4 linked regions of the Pelodiscus sinensis genome follow. The protein of the gene in region 4 interacts with the protein of the main gene of each other region in a biochemical or structural test. Links are inferred from orthologs where the notes say so. Each region holds a gene or a part of one and is shown on either strand. Other genes may lie near its edges. The genes, in order: BMP2, GDF2, BMP7 and ACVR2A.

Region 1 (7,461 bases), on a different chromosome or scaffold from region 4:
GTCCCTGCTCCAAAGTCCCTTCAGGATCTGAAACAAAATACAGGACGATGTAGCACTTTAAAGACTAACAAGATGGTTTATAAGGTGATGAGCTTTCGTGGGCCAGACCCACTTCCTCAGATCAAATAGTGGAAGCAAATTGTCACAACCATATATACCAAAGGATACAATTAAAAAAAATGAACACATATGAAAAGGACAAATCACATTTCAGAACAGAAGAGGAATGGGGCAGGGGAGGGGAGGAGGTAAATGTCTAACCATCTTGTTAGTCTTTAAAGTGCTACATAGTCCTGTATTTTGTTTCAGCTACACCAGACTAACACGGCTACATTTCTATCACTATTCTTCAGGATCTGGGCTTTCCATTCTGAACATAAAAGAGGCAAAGGATGGAAGGGGAAACCTCTCTTCATTTACTCCAAAATATCCAAGGCTTTTATGGCCTTAACATCAGAAGGATCCGTGGGCCTATTTATATTTACAATCAGAATGGCAGCAAACCTCTTGATGTTAAATCAGATCAGAATTTATCCAGGCCTTTGGAAGAAATGTAGACGCATTTCTCCCTCAGACGGTTCCTCATCCTACTATAGTCACCATAGGTAGCATCCAGTACAACCCATGCTCCAGGCATAGAGATGAAATATTAAGGCAAGAAATGGCTTTTCCCTGGTGTGGTCCACTGCAGAATGAACTGGAAGGGCAATTAGCCACCAAAGTGCTCATTTAATGTCAGTGATGTGTAAACTCTATTGCCATTGTTAGTTTAGTGCTGATTTACACAACTGGAGTGCCCTGACGTCACACTGCTTGCACCTTAAATTCAGGCTAACGAGCTCCAGGAAGTCATAAAATTGAACCTGATCTGGGAGTTCCTAAGCTATCACCCTTTCTAAGGCTTGAATTTCAGCTTGGGCTATCACTCTTCTCCATAGGTGCAGGGTTTTGCACCTGGCTTCTCCATGCCCAGGGGCCGGCCCTGCTTCCCACCCACTGCCGGTTCTGCCACCCCCAGGGTCCCTCCCACCTGGCATCCCCGTGGGTTCTGCAGCTTGCCATTTCTGTGGTCCAGGCCACTGGCCCCAGAAAATCTGCTGCTGCTCAGCATCCCACTCCCAACCCAGGGCTCCGCAGCCACCTTTAGCTGTGGCTAGGTTGCCAACTCTCCTGGACCGGATACACTGGACACCATTTGTGGTAATAGCACCCAGGCTGTCCGTGAGAGTTGGCAATCCTCGGTGTGACCTCAGGCTGGAAAAGTGAGAGGTGTGAACAGGTGTGTGTGTGTGGGGGGTGCAGCTTAGCACCCCCACCTTAAAAATAGGTCCAGCACCACAGCTCCTCCCCACACCCACATCTCAGATTTGGCTTAAAGCCTTTCCAAAGCAACAAAACTAAAACAAAATAGGTCATTCTTTTGCCAGGGTAAGGGTGTCTCCGTGGGGAATTGCACCAGTGCGACGTCATTGAAATGATCACCTTAGATTATAGAGATGCAACTTTTCTACTAAACTGCAAAAAGAGCCAATCAAAATGGTGGAAATGACCAGGGAACTGTCTCCTGTTGCTTTAAATTCTCCACATGTTGCTTTACTCTGTCAGTACCATCAGCCCTTTGAAAAGGCCTTGCACCCCAGTGTGGTGCTCTGAGGAAGGAAAGTGACCAGGGATTCCAGGCCGTTCAAGTGAGAATCTGTGCTAGGATCTGGACAATTGATTCTTTGTGTCATCGTTTCTATTGCATTAGTGTCTACAGGCATCAACTCTGACCAGGGCCCTATGGTGCAAGGCACTGTATATATATAAAAAAAGGGACTGCAAGAAGGACAAAGAATGAGGGAAAGAAAGTTTTAATATCCCTATTCCACAGGGACCCGTGATGCAGAGGGATTAAGGCCCAGAAGATAGGAGCCTAAATTCTAGCCCACTGTCACACGAGGAGTTTGGGGCAGATACGGAAACTGAAGCCAGTGAGTTAACCATCTTCTTTCTGTTCATCCGAGACACATCACCCTTCCTGAATCCATCCACCTTGGCATCAGAGCCTGCTCCTTCATCCCTCTCATGCTCTAAACTCATCTCCGAAGAAAAGCTTCGGCAACCTGGAGGAGCTGAGGCTGCCAACTGCCACATCGAAGGCTTTGACACTGTCACACTCCAACACCTGCGATAGCATGGACTGGTGCCGGTCGCGAAGATGGGCAGGTAAGCTGCTAAGCCTACAGACTGGTGCCCTGCTTCTGCTGAGTGGGACACAGAAGAGAATTCAATGGTAAAGCCAGCCCCAAAAAGGGGTTTCAAATGGGGATTTGCACATCCAGAGAGCTCTGACACATTTCCACCACTGGAGGGCAGCCATATCTTAAAAACATCCAGGGACTCAGCAAAGCAGCGCTGAACTCCCAAGGAGGAGGGGGCTGAACCTAGAAAGTCAAATGCATTTAAAATGATGCTTCCCCAAGGATAAAAGGCATTTTCTCAGGAATCTGACACGTTTCTTTCAATTGGGGCAGCCCATGATGATTTCCAGCTCCCCATGCTACTTTTGGGCTGTGACATGGAAGGTGTGAGTGGCAAATGTTATAGCAGGGAGCTTCACATCCCTTCTGCCACTGCTTATCAAACTGGATGCTGGAGTTTAACAAAGAGGGGGTTATGTCACCCTGCGTCCCAAATCTCTGCTCATGCCTAAAGACGCAGTGTCATAAAAGTGGCCTTTCACACAGTGTCCTTTGAAGGAATAAAATAGTCAAGGTGCTTTTGGGAGAAAGAACAGATTTCTGGGGATGCTCCCCCTGCAAAAAAGAGCCACAATGAACTTGATAGAACCATATATGAGCTTAAAAGAACCCATATATTCTTGATTGTAAAGTCATGCCTCTGAGATCTTTTGAATATGAAAGGTTGTGTGGCTGAGAGATACCACAAGCAAGAGATATTAAGCTCCTTCATTTCTGGGGTGCAGATGGGTACTCAACCTAGTTTTTCTTGGTGGCGTGATAACAGCATTTAGTTTTCCTCTCCAAGAACTAAACACACCCACTGGAATCGAAACAGGTTTTTGTTTGTTTGTTTGTTTTTAAAAGAGAGAAATGAGTTTTTTGTGATCTGTGCAAAATTCAAACAATAGTTGAGGTTTGCTCTAGATTTGCCCAGGGCTATTATATTGCGTTGACCGTCCTAACGTTAGACAGAGTACACTTAGACACTGCAGGTTTAGATTAACCATTCTGTTGCTTTGTATAAGTCTTTGATCCATATCAGCTGCAATGGGCCTAAAACTATTTACACCCAGGACCTGGGTGTAATGTTGATGTCATTAATTGCAAATGCTTTGTGTGCCTCTGCTGAAAATCAGGTGTGTGGGGATTTTTAAAACTTTTTTTTCTACTGGCCTAGATTATTTGAAAACACTCCAATTCTTCCAAAACCTGCTTTGACCTTCACACCTTAGAAGTCAGCAAACACTGAAATCCCACAGCACGAAACTAATCCGATTTGTATAAGCAGCGCACGAGACTTATTTCACTCTTCTTTTACTGAGGGGTCATTGTTCAGTATCCATCTCTGACTTTCCTCTGCGTTTCCACGTGTAGGCGCAGACTCCAGCTAAAAAGTTCCTAAGTCCACAGTTTTAGCCCATGCCTGGTTTGATCCCAGGTCTCGTATTGTCTAAGGACGGCGAGACGACAAAAGTCCCAACAGGGCTCTAGCTCTTACGCCTCGGAAGAACCACAACAATCCTCGGGACTAGATTTTCTTATTACACGTGAAGCTAACACTAACAGCTACCGGCTGCCAGCCTGCTCCAACTGCTCCTGGAGCTTCCCCTCGTTGGCTCCTGATTTGCAAAAACCACGCTGCACATTGCATGTCGCCCATGGGCCTGACTAGCTCCCGTCCAGCCTGGCACGGCCCCAGGAGAGGCGATAGGAGACCGCGACAGGGGGACATGTCGATGGGAGGAGAAGCAGGTGGAGGGGGAAACCATGGATCATTCTTTTCCAGTGTGGGAACTGGGGACACCCCCCCTGGCCAAATTCACTACCCGGCTCCTGGATCGTCGCAGGTGATGGGAGTTGCCTGGGACACAGTCAACCTTCTGCCTCGGAGGGAAGGCACGTGGAGGGAGATGCGAGTGGCGCTGCTGTCCCTGCTTCCTCCCAGAGGTTCGGCCATCAAGCGAGGCGAGGGGGGAAGCAGGAGCCGCGCACACACTCCTCCGCGGCGGCGGCGTCGCCTTTAAAAGCAGCGAGCGCGGCTCGCGGCCGCTCTCCCGGCGGCGCGCTCGCTGATTGGCCAGGCGCCTCCAGCCCCCGGGGCCGTGACATCAGCAGCGCCACAAAAAGCCAAGGAGGCTTCCAAGGACCTCGAGCAAGTGGCACCAGAAGCGCGCGGGCCGGGCACCCCGCGGGAGGACGCAGCGGCCGGAGAAGGCAGCCCCCCCCCCTCCTCCCCCGTTGCAAAGCGCCTGCTGCTGCCGGGGCCGCAGGGAAGGAAGAGCCCGGGCGCTGCGGGACTAGCCTGGCTGCGGATGCTCGGGGCGTGTTTTTTCCACGGAGCGGCATAGAGCGCGCGCCCCCGCGCGGCGTGGCGAGGCCTCTCCCCCCAGGGATGTCTCCGCGGCGGGCGGCCGCCGCCGTCCGGGGAGCCGCGGCGGAGTGACAGCCCGGGAGGGATGCCGCAGCCAGGCGCCGCCCAGCGAGCCCCCCCTGCAAGGCACCGAGCCCCGGCGGGTCGCGGCCGGCCGGGTCCGCGCGGCATGAGTCCCCGGAGAAGCCATGGGCTGCGGCGGCGGGGCTAGAGCGCAGCCCGGGATCCGCGCAGCCGAGGGACTTGCCCTCTCGCTACTGAGCCTCGCCCGGAGAAGTAACTTCCCGAGCCCCGCACGCACCGGATACAAGCCCCCGCCCGGCTGGGCACCCCCTGGCTCTGCCCACTTCTATGTGGAGCCCGCGTCCATGGCCGGCCCCCAGCGCGCTGCTTAGGCGCTCGGCGGGCTCCTAAAGGTAAGAGCGCAGGGCGGCCGGGCGCACCTGTCCCGCGCCTCCCCTCCCCACGCGCCGTTCACACGGGCGGCTTCCTCCACTCCGCTTCGAACGCCGCGCGCATGGAACCTGTTCTGCGTGTGAACGCGCCACGGGATCCGCCCGGGGAGCGCGGGGAACCTCTTTCTAGAGGTGCGGTGCTGGCCGTCCTGGGAGCCCCCACCTCCTTTGTCTTGCACCCCCCCAACCACCCTAGGTGCTGGAAGTAGGGGTGCAGAGGGGTACTGCGGCACCCTGGCTTGGAGTGGCTGCCATTCTAGACGGGCTGTCCAGGTGGGTTCAACCGCCCCCAGCAAAAACTGCCCCAGCACCTCTGCCAGACACCCCCTGAAGCCAGCCAACACCTGGACAGCTGGGCATGGCACTCGGCTCCTACCTGGCCATGGAGCTGGCCAGCCCGGCTCCTGGCCGCTGACAAGCGGCCGTATCTCTGGCCACGCTATGGTCCGCTGCGGGCTAGGCTCTTCTGTGCAAGGGGGCTTTGGATCAGGCGTGCAATCCGGAGTCACTACGGGGGGAAGCGGCTCCAGGTGCAACAGAGCACGGGGTACAGCGGCTCGCTGCCAGATGAGGTTCCACGCCCCCTAGCCTCCCTCGGGGGGGGGGGGGGGAGCCGGATCGGGCCCCCCCCCCGCTCGGGATCGGGCCCCCGGGACGGGCTTGCCCTGATTTCCCACCCTCCCTGTCTGCGCAGGTTGACCATGGTGGCCGCCACCCGCTCCTTGCTGGCGCTGCTGCTCTACCAGGTGCTGCTGGGCGGCTCGGCCGGCCTCATCCCGGAGGTGGGCCGGCGGCGCTTCAGCGACTCGGGCCGCGCCGCCCCGCCGCCCTCGGAGGACCTGCTGAGCGAGTTCGAGCTGCGCCTGCTCAACATGTTCGGGCTGAAGCGGCGGCCGAGCCCCAGCAAGAGCGCCGTCATCCCGCCCTACATGCTGGACCTCTACCGCCTGCACGCGGGCCAGGCCGCCCTGGGCTCCCCGCTGGAGAGAGCCGCCAGCCGCGCCAACACGGTCCGCAGCTTCCACCACGAAGGTACGGCCGGGGGGCTGGCTCTGCGCTGCCCCCTGCAGGCTGCGCCCGCGGCTCTTGGGGAGCTCTCCCGGCGGGGTCCGCTTCCCCAGGAGGGGTCGGAGGATAGGTGGGCACGGGGGGAGTGTGTGAGAGCTGGCGTCGCTTCCTAGGGAGCCTAAGCGTGGGCTCCGTTGTTGTGGAGTAGTGGGTGTATGAACTAGTGTGGGGGCGAGCAGGGTGCGGGTGTGTACCATCAGCACTGGACCCAAAAGGGGGAGGAAGGATAGAAGCGGGGAGGGGGAAATCTTTCCAAATAGTTTGGAAACTTCTGTTTCATTTCTCTTGTGAGTTTCTCTGTCTTGTTTTACAAGCTGGGCATCAAAACAGGCTCCCTCCCCCCCCCCCCCCCCTCGAATGTCCCCAGGCATTTATTCTGAGCATCTCCTCCCTTTCTCTCTCCTCCTCACCTTCTTCATCCCATGTGGCATTTGCCCCTCTTGATTTTTACAGCTTGGGTTCCAATTAAGCATTCCCACCCAGGGCTTTCAAAGATAAAAGCTAAATACCAGAAAAGTCTCCTTAGTTTACAGTTGGTCTGGGTTAGTTTTGGGAAGGTTTCTAATCCCTGGGAGAGATCAATGCAACAATCAGTAGTATTGTTTGCACAATGACTTTCTTGTCTTGGATTTGAATCTAGGGCAGATTTAGTGTAGATCTAAAGGTAAGCCTTCAAAAACCAGGTTGATAAAAGCATTGCCACAGCTGGTCATTGGACTTCATGCGCACCTGAGCCTTCAGATAACATGGTCACCTCTTAATTAAGATGCTGAATGCACTTTAAAAGTAGATTAAAATGGGTACTCACAAGAGCTGGCGTGTCTGTGGCGTAAAGTAAAGCTATTGAGTTGTTCAAACTTTTAGTACCCATCATATTCTAGTTTTAAGTGTGCACATAAATCCATTTGTTGTGAGCTTTCCACGTTCTGTGAGTTTGAATCTAATGAACTACATCAGTACTATAAAGCTGGAACCCTACATATCAGTTAAAATGTAACTAGTTTTGGTAACTGACACATTTTGCTGCCTTTTTCGTGCTTGGTAAATGCATACAGAAATGATGATCTTGACCTTCTGGACATGATTTTTTTTTAAATTTATTTTTGCAGTTAATTGGTTTAGCAGTTATATGTCTAGGGACTAACTTAAATTTGCAGCTACTAACTGGGGTAGCTAATCTGATACAATAGACTTGTAGAGCGAGTAGTTTTCATGTTGCTCATCTGCTTGTCACAAATAAAAGTAATAACTTCTATCTATTAGTCTACAGTGGTGGTATGTTGTAGTCTCACTGTAAAATTAATGAAAACACAGACTCCACATGTTATAACATGGAGCTGTG
Region 2 (7,847 bases), on a different chromosome or scaffold from region 4:
AAAGGGCATGATCCAAGGGTTTTGTCTGATATGAGTATCTACCTCTGAGGCCATGGTGCCGGTAAGAATCTTACTTAAAAATACACGTCCTGATTCTCCTCCCACTTACCCTGTTATGAATCAGCAACAATTCTATTGAAGTCCATGGTCTCCATCTGGCACTGCTTTTGGGGCATGGACTTGCTCCCCAAACCACGCCGACCACGGTGAGAAACAGCTCCTCCATCCAGGCCTGTGGTCTGAGGTAAAAATTCCTCCCCTGTACACAACGGCTGTGTCTACACTGGCCACTTATTCCAGAAAATCAGCTGCTTTTCCGGAATAACTTGCCAGCTGTCTACACTGGCCCCTTGAATTTCCGGAAAAGCACTGACGATCTACTGTAAAATCATCAGTGCTTGTCCGGAAAACTATGCTGCTCCTGTTCGGGCAAAAGTCCTTTTCCAGAAAACTGTTCCGGAAAAGGGCCAGTGTAGACAGCACAGATTTCTTTTCTGCAAAAAAGCCCCGATCGCGAAAATGACGATTGGGGCTTTTTTGCGGAAAAGCACGTCTACATTGGCACGGACGCTTTTCCGGAAAAAGTGCTTTTCCAGAAAAGCATCCTGCCAATGTAGACGCGCTTTTTCCGGAAATACTTATAACGGAAAACTGTTCCATTTTAAGCAGTTCCGGAAAATCATGCCAGTGTAGACATAGCCACTGGGTGCTCTTAAAACGCAGAAGACCTGGGCTCCATTTAAGAGTTACGCCTGCAGAGCTAACTTTTGTGTTCAGATCTGCGAGCGCAAGAAATCACAACACCGGCCCAACATTGCGATGCCAGACAAAGGCCTAGTCTAGGCACAGTTGGATACTTTGCTCAAAGAGCTGGCATAAATCATTCTGCCGAAGGAACTCTTGCTGCTACAAGTTGCATTTCCACTGGGAGGTTTTGCCGGGAGAGCCAGATGGGCAAAGCTTTTAGGTTTTAAAGGCCTAGCCTAAGATTTTTCCAAACGGAGTACTGATTTTAAGGCCCTTTGTGCTGGGTTGCCCCATTGGAGACACCCGTGGGGCTTTTCAGACAGCGTAGAGCATTCGCCGTTTCAAAATCACGTCCCTCTAAGACAGGTCAAATTTGGCATCCAAAAATTACGTGTCACTTGAAAATCTTGACCCTCAGCCGATGACTTTTGAGCTATGACATGGTGAAAGAGAGTCTGGAATTGGAGCACCTGAAAAAAATATCACTTCAGGCCATTGGGTCTCAGACTGTGGGGTCAGGACCCCAAGATGGATCCAATTTGAATGGGGTTGCCAGGGGCAGCTTAGACTTGCTGGGGCCTGGGGTTCAAGCTGGAGTCCCCCTGCCCAAGGCCAAAGCCAAAATCTGAGCGCGTCAGCCTTGGGTGGGGCTCAGGTTACAGGTCCCCTGTTACGTCCTTGGTGCTTTAGCTTTGGCTCTCCCCAGCCCTGAGTGATGGGACTCAGGCTTTGCCCCCACCCCACCTGGGGCAGTCGGGCTTGGGTGGGCTCAAGGTCCGGTCCCCTCTCCTGCAGCCATGAAGTGGTTTTTGCTGTCAGAAGCGGGTGGCGGCGCATGAAGTTTGCTCCATCCCTACTTGGCCGCAGGGGATGCCAGTTCCAGGGCTGAGCAAACTCCTGTGGACAGAAGCCATCAAGTGTTGCCTACTTCTGGAGTAGGAAGTGGGCCTGAAACACTTGCCCATGTATCACAGGCCTGGCGAGAGACCCGAGGCCTAGGCAAAAGTAGTCAAGACTTTGCTAATAGAAAGCACAGTGGAGCTGTGAGCAAGAAGCGCTTAGGTTCAGCTCCGACTCCTACAGAACCAGTGCGAGTTGGCTCAATCCTTTAGGCTTTGCCGTAAACGACTGCGATTGCTCGTTAGCTGGGGGAGTGACAGCCTTGCTGCCGTACCCTGACTCCAGTCTTCTTTTGAAGGGGATGTGCTCAACCTATCTCCATCGGTGGCTGAGAGCATCCTATATATCCCCTCACTGGTGACCCCATGAACTGAGGAAATCCTTTCCAGCCTGTTAGCTCCTGAGGAGACTGTTATAAAAATATTTCCCTCAGTAGATATTGTCTATCAGCAGGCCCTGAAAACTTGCACCGAGTGTACAAAAGAAGTTGGCTGAGGAGATCTCTGGTTCACTGATGTTAATCTACTATATATCTGAGAGAGTTTGTCTGTCTGTCTGTCTGTCTGTCCAAGAACTCCTCAGCGGGAAGAGCTAGGACCACCACATTCGGGAAGCAGCTTCCTCTTGTCGTGGCTTAAAGCAAGGTCAGGTTTCGGTTGTGCCAGGACAATGGGGAGTGCGTGGAATGGGATTGCGTCTCATCAAACCATGCAGAAAAGAGACAGACTTACCAGGCAGGTGAAAGAGGCTGGCTGCACGTGCACCCTTCCCCCCCATCTTAGACTGCTCCAGCTCCGAGGCTCCTACCCCCCATGCACCCTTTAGGGAAGGCGGGGGGTGGGGCTGAAGCTCCCTCCTGCTCCCATTTGTAGGGGAACATTGCTGGCGGTTCCCCTTCATCAGGGAGTGAGGGGAGTGCTGTGTTTGCTGCATTCCTCTCTCTGGCTGGAGAGGGCAGGGGGCAGATGAATCCGGACCTGCGCCAGCCAGGGAACAGGCACGCCTCCCCCAGCTGTGCCCACTGGCGCTGCAGTGGCCTTGCAGAGGCGCTTCTCACTTGACCCCAAGCGGCTGCCATGAGAGGGTGCTGGGGTAGTCCTCTCCCCTGTGAACTGAGCCCCTCCTCCCCAGCCTGACTCCAGAGCAATGATTCAAATGAAGCGTGAATATTTTTATTGTATTTTCCAAAACCCAAAAATTGAGTCAAGGACCCCAGCAATGCCGGGTAAACTTCCGGTGTGTCCTACATGGTAGAATACCTGGGCTAACATTGTGCCGGTATTTAAAATGGGCAAGAGAGGAGCTGGATAACAATAGGTGGGGTAATAAGAAATCAGTCCTGGACAAGATAATGGATAAGTCACCTCTAGTTCAATTGCTGAAAAACAAAGAGGAGGGGATAAAGTCATCCCAGCTATTGCAACCAGCAATGAGGTCTAGAGGCAAAACCTTTCCTGGGTCTTTGCAATGGGATATTTTGCTGAGGAACTGAGATCAATCAGACAACATGGCACCCAGATACTAGGTGTCAATTGGTTCTCTAAAAATACAGCGTCTGTGTCTACATTGGCACCCCTTTCCGGAAAAGGGATGCTAATGAGACACTTCGGAATTGCAAATCCGCGGGGGATTTAAATATCCCCTGCGGCATTTGCATGAACATGGCTGCCGATTTTTCCGGCTCAGGATTATGACGGAGAAAAGCGCCAGTCTAGATGCGATTTTCCGGAAAATAAACCCTTTTCCGGAAGATCTCTTATTCCTACTTGGAAAAGGGTTTATTTTCCGGAAAATCATGTCTAGACTGGCGCTTTTCTCCGGCATAACCCCAAGCCGGAAAAAAGTGGCAGCCATGTAAATGCAAATGCCGTGGGGGATATTTAAATCCCCCGCGGATTTGCAATTCCGAAGTGTCTCATTAGCATCCCTTTTCCGGAAAGGGGTGCCAATGTAGACACAGCCAGGCAGAATTGGTAACATTATCATCTACACTTGGATTAGAGCAGATTAGGCTCAATTAGATTCAGCTGCAAGTCATCTTTTTAATGTTTTAACTGGAGAGTTTCCTCCTGGAGATGCACAAAACTCTACCACAATTCTTATTTTTGTCTTGGCCAATATTCCCATGAAAAATCAAACATCTCCCTGGCTCATGTTCAGTGACTTCATAGAGACTTTAGGTTTCACTCCGGCTTAGTAAACCTGGCTTTATCTTCAAGAACAATTAGTCATTCTTGCAGTGACAGAGGAATGAGCTAGTTAAACCAGCGACCTCATGTAGAGGATTCTAAGAAAATACATTACATAACATACTACAAAGCCAGATTTTTTTTTTTACCCTTCCACTAAAGGATGCAAACTAAAAATGGACAAGCCGGCTAACAAGTTGAGGCAAACTTGACACAAGACAGATAGCTCACTCTGTACAAATAATAGCTCTTGGCCGATAAATGGAAAGCAATTTTAAGACTGTTCGTATTGTCATGAGAGCACAGCTTGCTAAAAGCACAGGGTTCAACCAGATGGTTGATTTTCGGAGGACAGGCGTAAAGGACCGTGGTATAGATTTGAGGGGTGATATTTTCTCCTGGCGAATTGAGTAGTTTGTTCTTACTCCCTGTTGTTATTTTTTTGGCATGGGGTGGAGGGGGGAAGTAGGGAAAACCAGAGTCTTTTCCTCCACCCCACCCCCCGCCCCGTTAAAAAAGTTCCTCTGAAGCCCTGTCAATGTTGGCCAACCCCGCCCCCAACGATAAAAGAGCATAATTAAGCAACGATGACCCTGCAGAGAAATGTGGATTCTTTGCAGCATACAATGTCCAGCCACATGTTTGTCAGATGTTTACAGAATCTTCATTAACGAAGAGCTTTGCAAGATAACAGAAACTGAAGCATGGCATCATGGCTTGAGATAAGGGCAAGTGTCCAACCAAGCTGCCTGACAACTGACAAGAGGCTGGGGGGTTGCAAACGAGCTCGAGAAAGTGATTTGCAAAGGGCTCTCACTCCAGTGGCTCGCCTTCCGTCTCCCGTTCTTCTGCCTCGAACGGGAGGCGCGATCTAGTCAGCTGGAAGAACCCGGTCCTTTTCCCACTTTCCGACGGAGGCGCATCCGTGAAAGATGTGCTCGTGGGGGGCGACGGCGGCCTGGCTGGTTTTCAACATCATCGCTTGCGTGGCAAGAGGCAAGCCCTTGGAAGCCTGGGGTAAATTATCAGAGAAATCCTTCGGTGAGCCCAGCGAGGTGGAGGGCAAGACCCCTTTCAACTTGAAAGCCTTCCTGGAAAACATGAAAGCCGATTTCCTGAGGAGTTTGAACTTATCCGGCGTCCCTTTGCAAGAGAGGTCTAGAGAGGAGCCCCCGCAGTTCATGATCGATCTGTACAACAAGTATGCCACGGACAAGTCTTCCAGCCCGGCCTCCAACGTCGTGCGGAGCTTCAGTGCAGAAGGTATGAAATGTCTTACACCTATAGACCGGGGTTGGACAAGAAGCTAGAGAGTCCGTGTCAAATCCCATTGCAAATCAAAGGGACTCAGGCACCTAACTCCCTTGGGCTTCTTTGGAAAATCCCCGGCATAGTCTCTTTTGTTATCCTTTCCGCTGCTCTTCTCTTATACTCTTCCAGGTCCTAAATCCTTTTCTCTGAGTCCACATTGTGCCCTCTTGCTTCTCCAAGAAGCAAACGAAATATTCCAACTCTCCAAACAGAGTCACCACAACTTGGCTGCCTTGCCTTTGTTTTGGGGCTGAGATTTGGGGCTGAGCTGCAAAATTTGGGGGTAGGTTTTCCAACACCCCCAACTCTGGAGGATGTTTGGCCCTTGGGCATTGCTCCAGCCCTTTGTAAAGACAGGAGTCGAACGGGAAATGGGACTCCCGATTGCTGCTAGGAACACCAGCCTTTGCATTCAGAGATCGGGAGTGAGTGGGGCTGGGGGGTTTGGTTCAGAGCCCCGCTCAGCACCTCAGGAACATACCCGACCATCCAGGGCTTAATTTGTGCCAGGCCTTGCCCAGGCAAAGGCCCTAAACCTCTCCACTCAGTAGCAGTCTCTAGGCTGGCCCTAGCACCTCTGGGCTTCCTGCGTCACTTACGAATGTAAAAAATTCCTTGCGGCCCAGCACCTTTTTCAGCAGAGTTTCAGCCATCTAAGACAGCACACGACTCAATCCTTTTAAAAGCCCTCTCGTTAGAATCAATAAAAGGGGCGGGGGTGTTTTAAGTGAATTTGGTGCTGGCCGAAAGAACCAGCCAAGACAAATTCAAATGTCCATGTATCTAGACCCAGCACAGACGACAGCGTGGCAGCCGTCTCCACATTCCCGCACAAGCACACCCCCTTCTCGGTGTGAGCTAGGGTGCAGGCTCCCTGGCCCCTCCTCTGCTCTGATTGGCCAGGGAGATTGGGGAAGATGCTTTTGGCAGGGTGGATGCTTGTGAGATGACACCCACCCACCCATCTCACAGCCATCAGCTGGGGGTAACTTACCAAAACCCCTTACAGACATGCCTCGCACCTCCAGCTCCCATGGCCTTTGGCTGGAATTACGTCTCTGACTAGCCAGCCCTGCCCGGGAACAGAAGCAGGGATTGGGAGAGGAAAGGCTCCATTTCCGAATACCAAGCTCCCAAGCCAGCCGGAGCCAGGAGCTTCTCCATCAGACTTGCAAAGGGTTTGATCGTCCACTTTGGTTCCTCCCTAGTGCAAGATGTTTTGTGGGGAAACTCAGCTACGATAGCTATAAACTAGAGATGTAGGTTCCATATCCCTATGCCTGAGCCTCCCCCTCCAGGGGAAGGGGAATTTGCCCCAGCTCACGATCATGGTCGTGGGATTTGTACTACCAACCCCCAGGGAGGTTTACAGCTGTAATTCCTCTGCAGAGGCCACATGGCAGAGCCTTTATGGGAAGCCACTGCATTTGCACACGCCCCTCATGAGCCAACACCACCCACTTTTGGAGCTGTGCTGGCACCTTGTGTGTGGACACATCACACTCATGTACACACACACACACACACACACACACACACACACAGGGAGTCTGAAGGTGAGGTTACTGTGGATCACAACTTGATCCCTGGTGGATTTGCTACCCATAGGGACCTCCCTCTGGGTTTCACTCTGGAGTGAAGCCAGTTCATTTATTTAATACTGGTGGCCATGGTGTAACGTCACTCCCAGCAGCTACTAGTAACGGGTGGGCATTTCTTCTGAAACATAGCATGCCACCGGCGAAGTGCGTTCGTCTTCATTGGATTAGCCTCTATCCTAGGAGGCAGGGTGACCGCCTCTCTTAATTTCCTCTTGCAGATGTTGTCTCTATGGCTTCCCCAGAAGAAAATCCATTTCAGAAACACCTCTTGCTCTTCAACGTCTCTATCCCCCGGCACGAAGTCATCACCAGAGCTGAGCTGCGACTCCACATTGCCTGCAGTAGGGACGTCGGGCCTCTCTCAAGGCTGGAAGGCAAGTTAGTCATTTATGATGTTACCGATAGACATCTCTGGCAAAGCCCAGAAGGCGCCAAAGCCTTCCTTGTCTCCCGAGAGATCCAGGAATGCGGATGGGAAATGTTTGAGGTGTCCGGTGCTGTGAAAAGATGGGTCAGGGCAGACAAACCCAAGACCAAAAACAAGCTTGAGGTTGTGGTGGAGCGGAAAACCCAGGGGGACTCCGTTTATGGGAAACTGGACATCAGTGTGTCGCCCGACACGACACAACTGCCCTTGCTGGTAGTGTTCTCCAACGACCACAGCAACGGGAGCAAGGAGACCAGATTGGAGCTCCGGGAAATGATAGTTCATGAGCAGGAGAGCATGCTGAAGAAGTTAGCCAAGAACAGCACTTTGCCTGAAGAGGAAGAGGAGGGAGAGGCGAAATCCATATCCGACCCCGGGCTCCACTCGCCTTCATCCAGAAGCAAGAGAAGCACCGGTAGCAACCACTGCCGGAGAACCTCCCTCCGCGTGAACTTCAAGGAAATCGGCTGGGATTCCTGGATCATGGCGCCCAAAGATTACGATGCATTTGAATGCAAAGGGGGATGCTTCTTCCCGTTGACGGACAACGTAACCCCCACGAAACACGCCATCGTCCAGACCTTGGTGCACCTCAAAAACCCCAAGAAAGCTGCCAAGGCCTGCTGTGTTCCCACCAAACTGGATCCCATTTCTATCCTCTACATGGATGAC
Region 3 (8,498 bases), on a different chromosome or scaffold from region 4:
ACTGAGTCAGGATATCTGCCCACCCAGCTCCTAATACACTTTAAATGCAGAACCACAGAAGGGATAGGTCCCAGACCCGGTGCAAGCCAGGACTGAATCAGGTTGCTGACCAGCTTGCTAAAAATTTACTGGCAAGGAAAGGGGGTGGAGGGAATGTGTGTGGTCTATAGCATTAATCTACAAGCTTTTGCTTATTGGTTAATCGACTATACTATTACATTCCTAGCTCTCACAGTTAATGTGTGCAATCAACATACACCTCACTTCAGATGTCCTTGCTTTACATGCGGGTCACTTTAGTAATACCAACAGGAATGAAACTATGCAGATGGAAACTAGTGGAATCTGGCAACTCTGAGCATGGGCAATAGTAAACAAAATGTCTTGTGAGCCACATACAGAACCTTGACAGGCTGCAGGTTGTCCACCATTGATCTAGTGTCTGGTGTCAATCAACAGTGACTCTAGTGAAATCTGTGGTGATCTAGACCAATTTTATATGTCAATCTGCAGAACTCCTTGCCACAGGACGTTGTGAAGACTAGGACAAAAAAGAGCTAGATACATTCATGGAGGTTAGGTCCATTAATGATTATTAGCTGGGATGGGTAGGAACAGCATCCTTAGCCTCTGTTTGTCTGGAAATGGATGACAGGAGAGGGATCACGTGATGATTACCTGTTTGTTCACTTCCTCTGGGGCATCTGACATTGACCACTGTCAACAGACAGGATACTGGGCTAGATGGACCTTTGATCTGACTCAGTATGGCCATTCTTATATTCTTATACATTTACAATTAAAATTTAGTTGTCTTATTCAAGCACTCAGCATTTCTCAGGATTCATTCCCATGATACCATTTAAATTTTAGAATTCAAAGGTCCCTACTGTTCCAAAACTATTTAGTCAAGGCTTCCCCACAGGAGTAACAGTTCCCTTCAAATCTGTGTGCACAGCTTCCATCACTGTGTCTTCTCTGATCAGTAAACCAGGGCAACCAGAGCTATGGTTTAATTAATATAATGTGATTAGCACAGTCCAGACCCAGATTAGTTCAAATTCTTGGAACAGTGCTAACATGTAGCTTATCCATAATGTGATTACTTTCATGTTAAGGAATACATTTGTGATAATGGTGTTAAGAGGAATGAATAGAAACTTTGATAAGTATAATCCAATGTGGTGTAATGCAATATGCAAGCTGTATATGTAATCTTATAAAATAATACTGTTTTTCTTATTGTTAGAATTTGAGTCACAGGTACAGGGGATGGGGGCGGCAGGAAATGGAAACAATCCAAAGGACCCTGATGATACAATCAGCATTGACAAGATTCCTAAAAGACATTTATTTTAGTAGAAGCATTTGGAGGAAGAAGTAAAAGATGCTCAGCAGTGTTCAGAAAGAGGATTTTGTTCCAGGCATTAGAAATGGCAATCGAAAAGTGCAAAACTCAAAATGGGTAAGAAATAGAAATAGTGGAAGAGGGCACTGAGCTGTAAGAATGAAAAGGTTGAACTTGATGTAGAAAAAAAAGGAGAAAGGAAAATAATATATTTTGGGCCTGATTTTAAAACAAGTTAGGCGTGAAACTACTTTCCTAATCTGTTTGTAGTTACTGAGGAGAAATTTGCATGGAAATAACCAGAATTAGCCATTGGCAGATCTCTGCTTAATTTATATTTATGATCTCGGCAATAATACATGCAATTGCACATGTATTTGTGTGCCTATATTGGGGGGGGGGGAAGGAGGGTTCATTAAAAAGGCCCTTTTATTTTTAAAGTTGTCTCTTCCACTAATCAGGAATGTGCAGTTGCCTGCACCAACAAAAAGATCAGTAGGTAATACACAAAACAGATAAAAGGGTTCAATTCATTAAGACACCAAAAAGTAGCTAATCTAGTATTTTAGCCTACATGTAAACCTCAAGAAAGAGGCAATTGGTTGGAATTTTGTTATCTAAAGAAATTATCTAAAACAACAACTGTCAACATGCAGGCATTGCTTCATCACAAGCATTTAGCTCTCCCTCACTAACAAGGAGTAGGAGAAAGAGAGTCTAGAGAAGAGGAGAACAGTAAGAGGAAAAACTGGTTTCTTAATTGATCTGGGAAGGAGGAGGAGAAAGAGGATGATGACATGGGCTGCCTATATTTCTAGCAATATGTCTGCAGTGCTTAGGAGCTGAACTTGCAGGGAACAGATGAAATGAGTTTAAATAGCATGCAATACATATGGGAGGGGGAGAGGGAGAGGGAGGAGGATGAAATCTATCCTAATGATAAAATTCTCAGAGGGGTAGCCATGTAAGTCTGTAACTTTAAAAACAAGTCTTGGGGCATGAGAGATTAACAAAAATAGAATCATGAGCTTTCATGGGTAAAAACCCACTGCAACTTATCTGATGAAGTAGGTGTTACCCATGAAAGCTCATGGTTCTATATATTTTTGTTAGTCTTTAAGGTGCCACAGGACCACTTGTTTTTATACCAATGATAGTACAGACTATATAACCTATATAGATTGGTGAGTATTTCAAACCCAAAACTGGATCCTAATAATAAAGCTTGAGCCCATTTCAGTCCTTATAGAATTATCCTTTTTTCTGCACATACTGGGAGAGATTCTGCTCTTGTTTAAAACCCATAACTCCACTGACATCAATGGGGGATAAACTTGTGATGTGAGAAGAATTCTCTAATAGCTTCCCTTTCTTAACCCACACTCATAAAGAATCCCCTTAGTATCATTTGTTATAGGTAGAGAAGCAGTGGCATATGCATATAAATCTGGCATGCATCTATTTCCTATTGCACTTACTAGCTTACAACCACAAACCAGACATTTTATGAGGGAGGGAAAAAGTGTGGAGGAATTACCTGCACAGCTGCTTCAAAGAAAGAGTTTGGCTCATTGATTCTTATCATAACCCCCTTTCATAAAAACCCAATTGCTTGTTCACAATGTCATCTCTCTACTTCATTCTCAATGTCTGTCACACCATGCATCTTCCTTTTCAATTTAGGCAGGAAATGAAGAATAAGACCATAGAAGAAAGCAATACAATTATATAATTTAATGAATGAAATCTTTACAATATCTGGTTTGTTCCCAAACAAGTGCTGCATATTCCCTGCCTCTCAAGAAAGGACATAGCCAATATTAAACTGATGCACTTGCTCACAGTCAAAATAGGCAACTTAAACCAACTTAAAATTATAGGAAAACTTAAATAGAGAACAAAGAGATATAAATAACCTCTTAGGCAACCAGAAAAGCTCATCAAGTCTAAAATTTCATCTCCCATAAAAATGATAAACTAAGTCTTAGCAACCAGTTTCCTGATAAACTGGAATTCAAATCTTATACAACTACTTTTCTTCCCCAAACAGGCAAAATTAAAGGGACACTGTCAACTTGAAAACTAAGTGAGCTACAAGTAGTTTCAGATACCACACCCATTCTTGAATCCCCTTTGCCAATTCTGATGTTTGACTATCATTTTTAAGATGTTTTCCTTTCTCCTGTGCTGAGTGAAAAACCCACAAACAAATAACATGGGAACCAACTGGCCATATAAGAGGAACAGTGGAAGTGACGTGGTGCTGTAAATGTACAAAGGCAACAAAGTAAAACAAAACAAAACAAAAACCTGCCAAATTTCTCTTAGTTATACCCTTGACAAGCATTTTCACACACAGAAAGGGCCTGATTCTCAGAGGTAATGCGGGTACCAGCACTTCTCAGGATCAAGCCCAAGATTTCTATAAAAGGCGTAACACACACAAAAAGTAGTGTTGTGTATAGAACTTCAGGCAACTGAAATCACAGTTAAGCCAAAATGAAGGGACTCTGAAGATCAGAAACAAGAGACAAGCTTTATGTAAACTACCCACTCCTTCCCCCGGCTTTACAGCTGGCTAGTAGTGCTTGTATACAAGATTCTGAGAACTCATTCTTGTTGCCTCCAATGGGCACCCAACCTCCACCCTGAGTTACGAGTTTTGAGAAGCATTATGGGTAAGAGGAATGAGAACAGGGCATGGTTAGGAGTTTTCTGGCTGTATCACTTACTCAATGGGTAGCCATAAGGAAATTGACTATATGCCTCAGTTTCCCCTTTTATTCAGTCTACCTCCTTCCCATAGGTTTCGAGATGAATAGCTAGTTATTGGTTATATAATGTTTTAAATTCACAGAGTGATGTAAGTGCTGAATGTTTGTGGGTGCAGAAGGTATGCAAGATCAGGTGTTGAGACTTTGGCATATAATAGACTCATCAGGAAACATCAAAGACATGGGACTGTCAAGATTAGTGTGACTGACCCACTTTCTTCAGTCCCCCTTTCTTCCCAAGATTCAATTAGAAAGTCAGCACCTAATGTGAATTATTTTCACTCCTCTCTTTTCAAAGAACTGTTGGGAAGCTGTAGTTAAAGTTGGTGAGTAACTCTTCTTATTTTTTATATCATCATAGATTCCAAAAAGCCCAGCCATGGGCCCCATTGTACTAAGGGGCGGGGAACCTTTCTTGAGTTGGGGGCCGCTGACCCACAGAAAAATCAGTTGGAGGCCACACACAAGTGAGAAGCAAAGTGAGAAGCCCCTGATGGAGAAGGAAAAAGACACTCCCACATTTCCCTTGAACACCAGAGCCGGGGGCACCCAAGCGACTAAGTTTTGTATGCTCCAGGCCTGTGGATGGGTTGCAGAGGGGCTGGAGCATTAGCACGGGCTCCCCAATGTGGAGGGATCCCTGAGCCTTGGGGGCCAGATCCAGGTAAATGTTATTGATAGTATTTTAAAGTTTCTTCTATCACCCCAGTCTTCCCTGACACTTCCTTACTAACCCCCTCTTATTTGCCCCCTCCCCTCTATTCCACAGCTGCCCTTGGAAAAAGTGACCCTAGTTTCAATGACTATCCTATTTATATCATGAAATTGTAAATCTATTCATTGATTGGTTTTCCCCTCTGGACAGTATGTGAATATATATTTCTCTCAAAGAACTGCCCCCTCCCCTAAACCTCCCCTTCTCTCTTGGGTGCTTTTTCCTTAACCATGTTTACATGATAAAACAAAAAAGCTGTCATGTCGCACTTTAAAGACTGACCAAATAATTCATTAAGTGATGAGTTTTCGTGGGGCAGACCCACTTCTTCAGATAGAATGCAACTACTTGGAAATGGCTCACTCTTTCTACCAATCCAGCCGCTTCCATAACATCCTGAAAAGCAACCTGATCAGATGTTCCTCCTCTAGGCAGGAACATGGATTTTCTTTTCTAAGCAGTTTGGAGAAAGAAGGGGGGGGGGGGGGGGGAAGAGGCAGAGAGAGAGAGAGAGAGAATGTGTTGAGTTTTGCTGCCTGCTCCTCCCACAAGATACAACCTCCTGCTGCCAGTGCTGTCTGCAAAGCAGCATTTCAAACAGTGCTTAGGCTTGGCTTGTGAGGAGTGAAGAGAAAGAAAAAGAGCGAGCTCAGACTCTGAAGGAAGAGGGTGAAAAGCAGCACTCAAGATTTTCTCTCTCCTATCCTATGGATTTTACAAACTAGACCCCCCTCTCCCCCCCGCCAGACTTTTATCATGAGTGCACTGCCGCTGGATCTCCCGAGGAGTCCTCTAACCCAGTGAGCAGAACTTTGTGGGGCAGGCATTTCCCCTCCCCAGCTGTCTTTCATGGTAAAGTATTTAGCCCTGCTCTCCAGCCCACGGGGGCTCTTTCTCTCCCCTCCACAGGGAGCTGCGTGAAGGAGGAGAGGAGAGAGAGATGCATGTGGGGTGGTTCAGGCAGGCTGCCTCCTGGCTGCTGGTCCTGTGGGCTGCTGCTCCCTGCCTGTGGCTGCGCTGCATCCTGGCCGATTTCACCTTGGACAATGAGGTGCACTCGAGTTTCATCCACCGGAGGCTGCGGAGCCAGGAGCGCCGGGAGATTCAGCGGGAGATCCTCTCCATCCTGGGCTTGCCCCACCGGCCCCGGCCCCATCTGCACGGCAAGCAGAACTCTGCCCCCATGTTCATGCTGGATCTCTACAATGCCATGTCGGTGGAGGAGGAGACGGCAGGAGCAGCCGGGGAGGAGGGAGAGGGATTCTCCTACCCTTACAAGCCCATCTTCAGCACCCAGGGGCCACCCCTGGCCAGCCTGCAGGACAGCAACTTCCTCACGGAAGCAGACATGGTGATGAGCTTCGTGAATCTGGGTGAGTCTCTAACCCCCATCCCGGGGGAGTCTGGGATGAGATTTTTTGGTGGGGGAGGGGATAAATGCCTGAGTGTTGGGATTAGTGCCTGGGGAGGGGGTTGAGATGGGCAGATCCGTCTGATGGACAAAGGAAGGACAAGAATGTGATAGCCCATGTGTCTCTACTGGTGGCCACAGGTGGCCCTGGTGGCAGGTGGCTCCAATGGTGGGGAAGGGAAAATAAGTAGCCCCAAGAAAAAGTACTTTTTTGTTACATCATATGTAAATGGCAGTAATCTTGAAATTCAGCTGGGCAGAGCTCAGCCTCTATTTCACATCATTAGGGTTTTTAGAAGTTTATTGTGCTGAATCAGCGCTTACCTCTCATGAAAATTCTTCCTCCTCCTGCCGATAAACTCCTTATTTTCCCAGTCCCAGAGATGAGGTTCTCAGAGGTGAAGGAATCATTAGTGGGCCTGGCCTGCCTCAGGAACCTCCAAGGAAGATATGAAACCTACCAGCACAAGATCATGAGCTGCCTTGTAGTTCAAAGCACTGAGCTTAGAGTCATCTAATGCCGCTAGAGTAGCTGAAAATGGATGGATTCCAGTGCAGCGGGGAAGACTGCATTAACTGAATTGAAAGGGCCAAGCTGCTGAGAGTCTGTTTTCTTAATTGCTTTTGTGGGTTTCAGTGGCAAATCCTTATTTACTCCTGCAGTGCTTTCTACTTTCTCTACATAGTCTTTCTTCTAGTTTTAGGCAGCTAGTTGCTTTCTTTCACAAGCACATGTGGATGGGTTTATGCAAAGGACCTGAAAGTTGCCACACTTTGAATGCAGCTCACTAGGCCCCTAATTGGATGCCATGGTCCAATCTGAGTTCTATTTGTCTGCTGTAGATTGTATATCCTTTTGGACTAAACTTGTCTGGATTTGAGTAAAATGCTGACAGGGCCAACATTCTATTTTAAATATGTAATTATAGGTCCCAGTTCACTGTATCCAGTTTTAGCACTCATCACGTGTGGCACTGAAACCACCGAATGTACAGATTGGGTGCCTGCAATTTTAAGACCAAATCGGAACCGTAGTTTCAAAACAAGATCAACTCAAAGTTACTTTGGGACAAGGAGCAAGAGGCATAGACCCAATGCACATAAAATGGTGCAGACCGCACCCTTACATTTAATACTGTAAAATAATAATCATTTAGGGCTTACTGGTTGTCACTATGTTTCACCCCATGGCCACCTAGAACTTCATTGTGGCAACAGAAATTGAACTATAATCCTTCTGGCACTGTACCTAAAGGAGAATCACTAATAGCAGTATAAGCTCTATGTTATACCATTGAATAGGTATGACTATATACATTATCATTCCATTGCAATTTTGATGAAACCTGGAGATGGAGTATTGTATGCTGGACTTCTAGTGTCCATAAGTCATACATCCATATTAAATACCATGAACCTCAGATGAGTGCTCTATGAGTTTCATTTGATGAGGGGCTACACTTTTTTGAAAGTGATAATGGGTTCAATTTAGAATTAGAATGCTCGTCTAATCACTTTTAAATATGAAAGCCAATCATCAACGATTCATGTTAAAAATCAAACATCTCAATGTCCAAAATTACAGTTGGTGGTCAAATATTTGACTTTAAAGATAAGAGATGTTGACACTGTGCTTGCTGGTACCTTAGTTTTAAGTATAAAGTAAAGCCTAAGGCTGAAAGTGCAGGGACACTCAATAAAATCTAACAGAGAACAAAAGATGGTGAAATAATGAAACAAATTCCCATTTTTCTTTTTATATTTTAAAAGTATGATTTTATGAAAGGAATAAATAACTAACAGAATCAACTCCAGATAGATAAATGTTTTTCTCTAGGGGAATAATTATATCCTTTGTAAAAAGCAAAAATTAATTCCAACAAAGCTTTCATAAGTACTGCTCTAGGACCCCAGTCTTATACTCATTGTGTAAGGAAAAGTCTCTTTGAAATCCATGGGAGTTTTATGTAAAACCTATTAAGATGCAGGCCCTAAAGTAAATTATATTTTCCAAAGTGTGATTTTAGTGAAATTAGTCAACATATTAAAAAACAAGGACAAAACATTTTTTGGATAGCTCCTATAAGAGTATCACAGAACACATCAAAGCAATGGCATATATGTAAACAGCAGGGCCAGACGGAGCCATTCTAGCACCCCCAGCAAACAGGTTAATTGCGCCCCGGGTTGGGGGAGGGCGCATGCGCAGCCCTGCCCCCGCACCGGCTCGTGGGGGAGGTTGCATGCACT
Region 4 (8,099 bases):
TGTACAAGGTCATCCGCAATGGCACCTCAAAGAACCATTGCACGGTTGTCGTTAGTCAGATGGATATTTAGCATTAGGCCAGTATGGGGAACCATTTTTGGGTCGGAGCTGCATAGCATGGGTTCCCCAATGCTGGGGTGGAGGGGTCTGAGCCTCGGGGGCCGGTCCTCGGGCCTGAGGTTCCCCACCCCTGTAAGGAGGAGAGTACTGATGATAGTCTCTTTGTCCTACTCATCTCTGATTGCCTATATCCACTTGTTGTCTCTTATTGTTTACATATAGTGCAAGCTATTAGGGTATGTCCAAACTACGTACTATTTTCGAAAGAGGATATGCAAATTCCTGTGATAATTTGCATATCTTTTTCTGATCTCACTTCCAAAAACGGAGCTTTTGAAAGCGAAAGTAGTCTGGATGTGTTTTTTTGGGAAAAACCCTTTTTCGGAAAAACTGTGTAAACCTCATTTTTAAAGGAAGAGAGTTTTTTTGGAAAAAGGTGGGTTTTTTTTCCTGAAAAAAAACCACGTCCAGATTACTTTCACTTTTGAAAGATCTGCTTTCAAAAGTGAGATCAGAAGAAAGATATGCAAATTCCCATGGCATTTGCATATTCTCTTTCGAAAATAGAACGTAGTCTATACGTAGCCTTAGAGGCAAGAGCTATCTTTTTTGTTCTGTGTTAGTACCCAGCACTATGGAGTCCTGATTCATGACTGGAGTATCTAGGCCCCATCACAATACACATACTAATAACAACAACTGGTCCAGTCCTGGGTCCTTTAAGCCAAAAGGAGGATGAGTTTTGGGGTACAGAAGAGGAACAGGAAGGCTCAATTGGAGAAGCAGCATAGAACGATTGTAAGGATGACCCTGGCATCTAGAACTTCCAGGGGCTTAGTGAAGACACAGACACTTTCTGCTAGAATCCCACATTTCTGCCACCTCTTGAGTTGCATCACTTGATAGTAAGATTTACAAAGACTTGCCAAACATGCTATGGGCTGATGTGTACACCTCCACATGGGGCAAAGCAACCATCAAAAAGCAGCATATGCCAGCTTTCGTTGGGTATATTTTAATTGCAGAAAAGGTGTGTTTTTAACTCAGATTAGATACTGCATATTAGCTATATTGGGTTAAAACAGCAGTGAAGACAACTTAATTTTTAACTTGGGTTAGTAGCTTGAGTTTGGTGCAAGTCTCTCTGTAGAATTTAACTGATGCTGCTAACCTAGATTAAAAGTAGGAGTGTAAAATCCAGTTTAATTGGCTAACTGGTTAAACATATTAAACTGATTAAAGGGGTGGGATGAATGGGGAGGCTCCTCCCACTGTTAGGCTGGATTACCACCCTCGGTCCCCTGCTGCTGGCAGGAGTGGCTGCTCCAGCCTGGCCAGAACAGTCCATGCCTTTAGCCCTTGTCCACATCCAGTTCCCTGCAGACTGAAACAGCCCTCTGCCTTTGGTAGGCAGGGAACTGCTCCAGCCCCACTGGTTAATCTTCACATCCCTAATTAAAAGCCAAGTTGCCATGGCTTGACTGGTATTTAAACAAAATTAACTACCCCAAGTTAAGAATACACTCATTTCTTTTTTTCAGTTAAGACATACCCCTAGTAAAGCTGGGGCAAGGGACCCTGCTAGTGGAATGGAAGACAATGATTGCTGAAGATTCTACAAACATTTGGTCTATTCCCTACTCTAAGAAGCAGGGCTATTCATGCTGATGAAGGATTTGGTGGCAACCACTGTGGATAATTTAAAGTTACAAACTCTCACAATTTTACTCCAAAATCTTGATAAAGTGGATACATGATATCTTTTCCTTGAAGCCTCAGTTCTTGGTCTCATGTGATTATTGGAATGTGAGAATTTATTTTAAAAAGATAAAGTTTCTAACTCTGAGGTTGCAGAAAAAAGCTTGAAAACATGAATGCCTAAAAGGCTCAAGAAGAAATCCATTACTTTTCATTCAATATCAGGATTTGATTCTGGGGCTCTACCAGATTTCTAGGGTTCTTGGTAAAGTGAGGCATGGTGGGGACAGCAGTTAGGTGACTGGAGACAGATTATTGTTCCTTACAACTGTCTAGGTTGAAAGGCATCTAAGGAAAAGGGCTGGAAACTGCTATGGTTTTCTTTGATGAGAGGTGAAACTAAAATACATTAAAAATAAAACAAAACAACTAAGGGGGGGGACTGCCCTCCTCCCCTTTCTGCTGCTCCTTCCTTCCCCACTCCCAAACTACAAGTGGTATGACAAAATCCCGAAGGCCAAATTAGGATTAGATTTGTACTGGTAAACTAAGTAACTGTGCCTCCTGCTTGCTATACTCCCCAATCCCCGCATCTGTCCTAGCGATGTGAAGGACTAGTCAACTATCCAATAAGCAAATACTTATTGGATAGTCAACTGGCTAGTCAACTAGTCGCTTCCACCCCCCACTCCCCTCCACTTGCTGCCTCTATCAAAAAGACTTCCCTGCCTGACCCCGGGATCCATGTAGCTCCCGAAGGCTGCTGATACACTTCAAAGGTGGAGGTGCCCTGTCAACTAAATGAATATGCATCAACTATTCGATCACTCAATTAGTCAATATTTAACATCCTTAATCTGTCCACTGTGCCACCAGCCTTCCGGTGGCCAGATGGGGGCTGGACTGCAGGGCTTGCCTCAGGAATGGGGGCAGGAACAGGATACTTTGACTAGAGGGGGGCTGGGCCCCGATTAGGCAGGGTGTCTGGACAGGAAGAGGGGTCAAGAGCAGGCTGGGGGCAGGGTTTCCGGCCAGGGGGCAGGGTGTCTGGCCAGAGGGGCAGAGGTAGAACTGGGCTGAGGGCAGGTGTCTGGTCAGCAGGGAAGAGACAGGAGGAGCGGACGGTGAAAGAGCAGGCTGGGGGCAGTGTGTCTGGGCAAGGAACAAGGGGGCAGGAGTGGGATGGGGGGGCAGCAGGGATGGGGTGTGTGAGGTGCTGGGGTGCAGAGTCTGGGCATGAGGCGCTGTGGCAGGGCACTTACTCCTTTTCATTCCATGCACTGGAGGCCTTCTCTACTGCTCCAGTTGTGAAGCCACCTATGTCTTCACTTCAACTTCAACTTCCAGGCCCGGGGTCCTGATGCTCTGCGACCCAGTGGGGAACCACTGCCACCTGCTTGGAACTCCAGCCTCATGACACTCCCCACAAGATTAGAGTACCAGTGCTGGCTTTCTGCAGAGGAGGAGAAGCCCTGAGGCTCCATGCTCAATCCAGCTTGAGCAGTGCATGCACTTCCCTGCAAGCCAGATCCAGCGCACAGCCTCAGGGCTTTCTCCTCCCCCTGTCCCACAGGAAGCCAGTGCTGTCACTCTAATTTTGTGGGGGCGAAGGGGCCATGAAGCTGGAGCATGAGGCAGGCGAGGCAGTTCCTTGCTGGGTCGCAGAGTGTTATGGCCCCAGACGCAGGAGCAGCAGCAGGGCCATAGGCGGTTGGATGGGAAATAGAGGGGATGGGGGATAGGGATGTTAAAGACTAGTTGACTATCTGATAAGTGTAGCATGGAGCCTGGGGTCCCGAGTTCTGGGGAAGTGCCATGCGGAATCTGGGATCAACTGGGGACTCCCCTGCTGACCCCAGGGCTCCTCTAGCATGCAGTGTAGCATGGAGCCCGGGGTCAGCAGAGGACTTACCCTGGGCTCCATGCATTTCAAAGGAGGCACACCGCATGCAGCCCGGACATTTCAGAGGACAAATGTGGAAGTGCCTATGGACTAGTCAATTAATTGCATTTTAACATCCTTAATAGGGGGACAACAGAGCTCGCTGAGTGCCCTACCACTGGTCGTCGGTGAGAGCCGGGGCAGAAGGCAGAGCGGGGAGCTGGAGCCACTTCCTGCTGGGTCCCCGGAGGGCTGCGAGGGTCAGCTGCTGCTCCCTTGCTCTCCTGCAGGTGAGCTGGGGGTCAGCAGGGAGCCCAGGGCTCCCTCTGAAGAGGGATGGGGGTGAACCCTGAGCCATGGCCACCGCTTCCCCTTCTCATTCTGCCAAGGCTGGGGGAGAGGCAGAGCGTCTCAGAGTGAGGTGATGACGCTACCGTCCTACAGAATTTTTTTTTTAATATAGAAAGATCAATAAACATCAATTTCACCATACATATGCAACTTACCCCCTCCTCAAGATATATCCATGGATAATAATTTCAAACAAATCAGAGTGCTGATTGAAAATTTATGAGAGTTTGATTTCAAGGCTATTTACTTTGAATATTTTTAGGCGACATGAACAAACTTGTATTTTAACAGCTACGAATGTTAACTTTTTGTATCTGAACATTTACTGTCATTAAAAACCGATTGCCTGGCACACCCCATAATTAGCAACTGTAAACATTTAGATAGATGTAAAAAGCTTAAAAATAGGCATTCGTATTGTCTGCCAAAACTATAAGAATAAAAATGCAAGGGTGGGGGAGCCCTAAGATCCCCGGGACAGAGCACGAAGGCTAGAGTCTGGGCAGAGACCTGGTCCCACAGAGAACCGTGATATGGAGGGTGCATCTCCTCTGGCTGCGCTTGAAATAGCAAGCGAGGAGCAAAGTGGAGATAAGAACTAAGAAGGGATGAGGCGCAAATGAAGGTGGGGCACGGCAGGGGAGCAGGCGGGTGCGGCACCCACCAGGCCTCCCCGTGCAGTGAAGGGGCACGAAGAAGGGAGTCGTGAGGGGACGCGGTGAAGAACAGGCGCAGACTCAGCCAGCAATCAAGAGCGCGCGCGCAAGTAGGAGGCGCGGGAGAGCTCCTCGCGCACAAGCGCCCCGCCCCAGTCGGGAAGGTGACGCCTTATGCTCAGCCCTGAGTGGTTCCGAGGGCTGTCAATTGGGAACGACTCGCTCACGCGTCCAGTCGCGCGACAAGCAGCCGTGATTGGGGGAAGAGGGGGAGGGGAGCGAGGAGAGGAAACAAAAACAATCGCCCGGGCACCGCCATCTTGGGTTCGTTCTGCACGCCACACGGTGAATGGGTAGATATGAAATTACCACAGGCGAGCCGCAACAGCAGCAGCACGGTTCGGAGGGCCGTTCGGAGCTGCCAGCCGGGCGCCGGGGACTATAAAACCGGCTCCTTCATCCGCCGCCTAGAGAAAAGCCCCGGGCTTGGCCTTTCCTTATCGCCGACCCCTAAACTCAGCTCCTGGGGGGGCAAAGTTGGTGTCCGTCGCGCCGGCTGGGAGACGAGAGGGTTGGAGCCAGCAGCAGGTTCCTCAGAGCCAGGAGTTAACTGGGGACAGAGCTAGGGGAGGGGGAAAAGAGGGTTTCCCCTCCCCCTTTCCAGCACCTTGCCCAGGGCTTGCCTGGTACGTGGTGTGGGAGGCACAAGGAGAAGGCAGCAAGAGTTCACCAGGCTTTCAACCCCCACCCCGCCACCCAAGCCATTGAGGAGTTTTTCTTCCTAAGAAAGCAAAAGTTGGACTGAGTGAAAAATTGTCCAGGTTTCTCCCTTCTAACCACGTAGGAGGCAGAGAGGAAAAATGTATCCGTGAGGAGTTGGGAGAGGGGTATGAATCGAACAGAAGAGCCACCAGCCCAGCACGCAGGAGGAAGAAAGCTGTCACCATCCCAGCAAACACGAAGATCCAGGGCACATCCAGTCATGTGTCTATAATATTGATATCCTTTCCACCGCCACAGAAGCAGCGTTCTCCTAGAAGCACAGCAATCAAGGAAGAAGAGATTTGCCACGCGCTCATAGATCACCTTCCTCCCCAGCGGCTGGAGACTACATTTTTCCTGTGACTTCACTGTTTGAACACCAAATATAGTTTCTTAGAGGGGATTCTTAAAGGAGTTTGAAATTCACTGTTGAGGCAAGAATGTCTGAAATGCACAGCCTTTGTTGAACGGACAAGGAGAGGATCGCAGAAGTAGGAGGGAAGTGGTAGGAGAGAAGAGAAAACGTTCGGCTTTCATTAACTTGAAAGGGGAAGCCCAGAGATTTATTTTTGTGGAAGTGTAAAGGCTTTTTTGTTTGAGGTTGTTGTTTCTCCTCCCATCCTTTTCCCTGTGGTCACAATACAGCTCGCAGCATGATTGAAGTAAACGTCAATGTTGCCCACATGTGGCTGGTAACTTTTTAGACAGTTTTTATAAAGAAACTGACAAGTATACTATTCCCTTCTTTATCAGTGGCTTACTGCTTTTTGACGTTTGAAGCTGAGATGGTACTTTTTACTCAAACACTACATGTTGTATAATAGGAGTGAGACTGAAAATATACTCTTTACTCATTTCAGTAAAACTTGCTTGGTTCCAGCGCGACGAGGGATACTTTACAGAGCTTAAAGTAGAAAAAAGCTGAACTTTCTCTGAGACTTGGTTCTCCTTCTAAACGGCGATTTATGCTGTTGACTTTTTATGGATTCTTAACTTTTTTCCCCCTGAATTACATTTTTCCACCACTTGTACAGAAGCCAAATGACACATGTGTTTTGAAATGCTTCTCCAAATATACACCCTTGTATCCGGGATCTCGCTAGAAAGAGCTGGAGCGGTTGTCAGTATCTAAATAAAGCTGATTTTATTGTTTTGTGAACACTCTAGACTCCAGAAATGTTCTAGTTTGCTTTATAACGGTTAAATTTGAAGGTTGATTTTTTCTGTTTGGAAAAACCAGGAAACACGAGAGTAGGAACACTACCTGTATGTTCTAACTGTATTTCGAAAATGGGAGCTGCTACCAAGTTGGCGTTCGCTGTCTTTTTGATCTCTTGTTCTTCAGGTAAGTAAACTTAATTTGGTCAGTTTAAAGGTATCATTGTGATACCAAAGCTTGTGGAATTAGTACGATTTGCAAACGTCTTTTTTGAGTACTGTATATTTGACTTGGAATATATAGTTTCTGGTTGATAGTGACTAATAGTTTGAAGTGATAAGGTTGTTGTAGATGACAGCTGGGGTGGTATCCGTTCAGCACTTCTATTGTATGCGTTCTGTAAACGTAAAATTAGTCCACTGCAGAATTGATTAATGGAGTACCTTTAAAGCTAATTACTTATACTATTTATTAATATTATAATTGAAGTTTCCTTATGTTTAAAATGCTCAGGAAAGTGCAGCATGACCAACTCCTCTAACTTCATTTAGATGTTATTTTGAGATACTCATTATTGAGCTTTAGCATGTTTAAAAATAATTCTGAAAGCACTGTATGGAGGGGGAGTTGTGTGTATGCACAGAATCAAGAGAATAAGGTAAATTTAAAATCCTTATCTGGATACTTTGCAAAACCTAACATCTTTTAGCTACCTAATACACTGTTTATCACTTTTTGATTTTACAAAAGTACATGTTTAAATGGCTATCTTTAGTCCTATGAAACAGTGTGGTCCAAAAATTGTTCAGTGTAAGCATTTTTCATGATAGCAACTAGTGTTCGAAAAAATTAATAGACTTGCATTTATTTGGAACGATCCTTCGGAGAGCTACTGATCCTGGGTATTGTAACTGATTTTAACTTTTTTTTTTTTTCCTTAAGCTTTACAACTTGTATACTGTGTGGTTGTGTGGCTTTTTTTTTTTAAACACATTCCTTTTTGACTGCTTATGCACTGTTGTGTGCAAAAATAAAAGTATTTAGCGTTCTTATAATTGTGAGTTGATAGCTGGTTTTATCTGACCCTATTTCTATCTTGTTCTAACTGCCTGGCTAGTTTTCTGTAAAAGCTTCTTTTATTAAAAAATAAATAAATAAATAGAAAATGGTGATATAGAATTTTGCTGAATGATCCATTTCCTTGTGGTTATTAAATGGATGCAGTCTAGTCTTGTGTCTGTAGTGTTATTGATCAGTTCTGTGTGGGCTGAATGTGCTGTGAAATGGCGATCACTGCCACAGATTAACCAAAAGAATTAATCTGTTGAAATGGAACATGTTAAAGACAGCTTGATTCTTTTTAATATCAGAAAAAATACCAGTTTTTAACAATCATGATGGTTTATGTTTAAGTAAAGCCCTTCCTGAAACACTGATTATGAAAGTATTCGCTTTTAATTTAAATAAGGCTATCTTTTTGGAGTTTTCTAGTTTGTTTTTCTCTTTCCCCTTTCCATTCCCACTTTACTAC

Evidence for each region.
Region 1: the proteins of ACVR2A (region 4) and BMP2 form a complex in vitro, tested with the Homo sapiens proteins (3 studies listed by BioGRID and IntAct, with this or other methods). The link is inferred for Pelodiscus sinensis from reciprocal best matches to the Homo sapiens genes ACVR2A and BMP2.
Region 2: the proteins of ACVR2A (region 4) and GDF2 form a complex in vitro, tested with the Homo sapiens proteins (2 studies listed by BioGRID). The link is inferred for Pelodiscus sinensis from reciprocal best matches to the Homo sapiens genes ACVR2A and GDF2.
Region 3: the proteins of ACVR2A (region 4) and BMP7 are reported together in a solved structure, tested with the Homo sapiens proteins (2 studies listed by BioGRID, with this or other methods). The link is inferred for Pelodiscus sinensis from reciprocal best matches to the Homo sapiens genes ACVR2A and BMP7.

The regions. Positions count from the first base shown.
Region 1 is NC_134713.1:192,410,079-192,417,539, reverse strand, and holds the start of BMP2 (bone morphogenetic protein 2), read left to right. Parts: upstream 1-4,344; 5' UTR 4,345-5,012; intron 5,013-5,745; 5' UTR 5,746-5,752; coding exon 5,753-6,083; intron 6,084-7,461. UniProt on the Homo sapiens protein: Growth factor of the TGF-beta superfamily that plays essential roles in many developmental processes, including cardiogenesis, neurogenesis, and osteogenesis. Induces cartilage and bone formation.
Region 2 is NC_134718.1:5,221,584-5,229,430, reverse strand, and holds the start of GDF2 (growth/differentiation factor 2), read left to right. Parts: upstream 1-4,536; 5' UTR 4,537-4,768; coding exon 4,769-5,099; intron 5,100-6,966; coding exon 6,967-7,847. UniProt on the Homo sapiens protein: Potent circulating inhibitor of angiogenesis. Signals through the type I activin receptor ACVRL1 but not other Alks. Signaling through SMAD1 in endothelial cells requires TGF-beta coreceptor endoglin/ENG.
Region 3 is NC_134728.1:14,405,404-14,413,901, forward strand, and holds the start of BMP7 (bone morphogenetic protein 7), read left to right. Parts: upstream 1-5,364; 5' UTR 5,365-5,777; coding exon 5,778-6,210; intron 6,211-6,572; exon of another isoform or gene 6,573-6,705; intron 6,706-8,498. UniProt on the Homo sapiens protein: Growth factor of the TGF-beta superfamily that plays important role in various biological processes, including embryogenesis, hematopoiesis, neurogenesis and skeletal morphogenesis.
Region 4 is NC_134717.1:25,487,003-25,495,101, forward strand, and holds the start of ACVR2A (activin receptor type-2A), read left to right. Parts: upstream 1-4,918; 5' UTR 4,919-6,699; coding exon 6,700-6,754; intron 6,755-8,099. UniProt on the Homo sapiens protein: On ligand binding, forms a receptor complex consisting of two type II and two type I transmembrane serine/threonine kinases.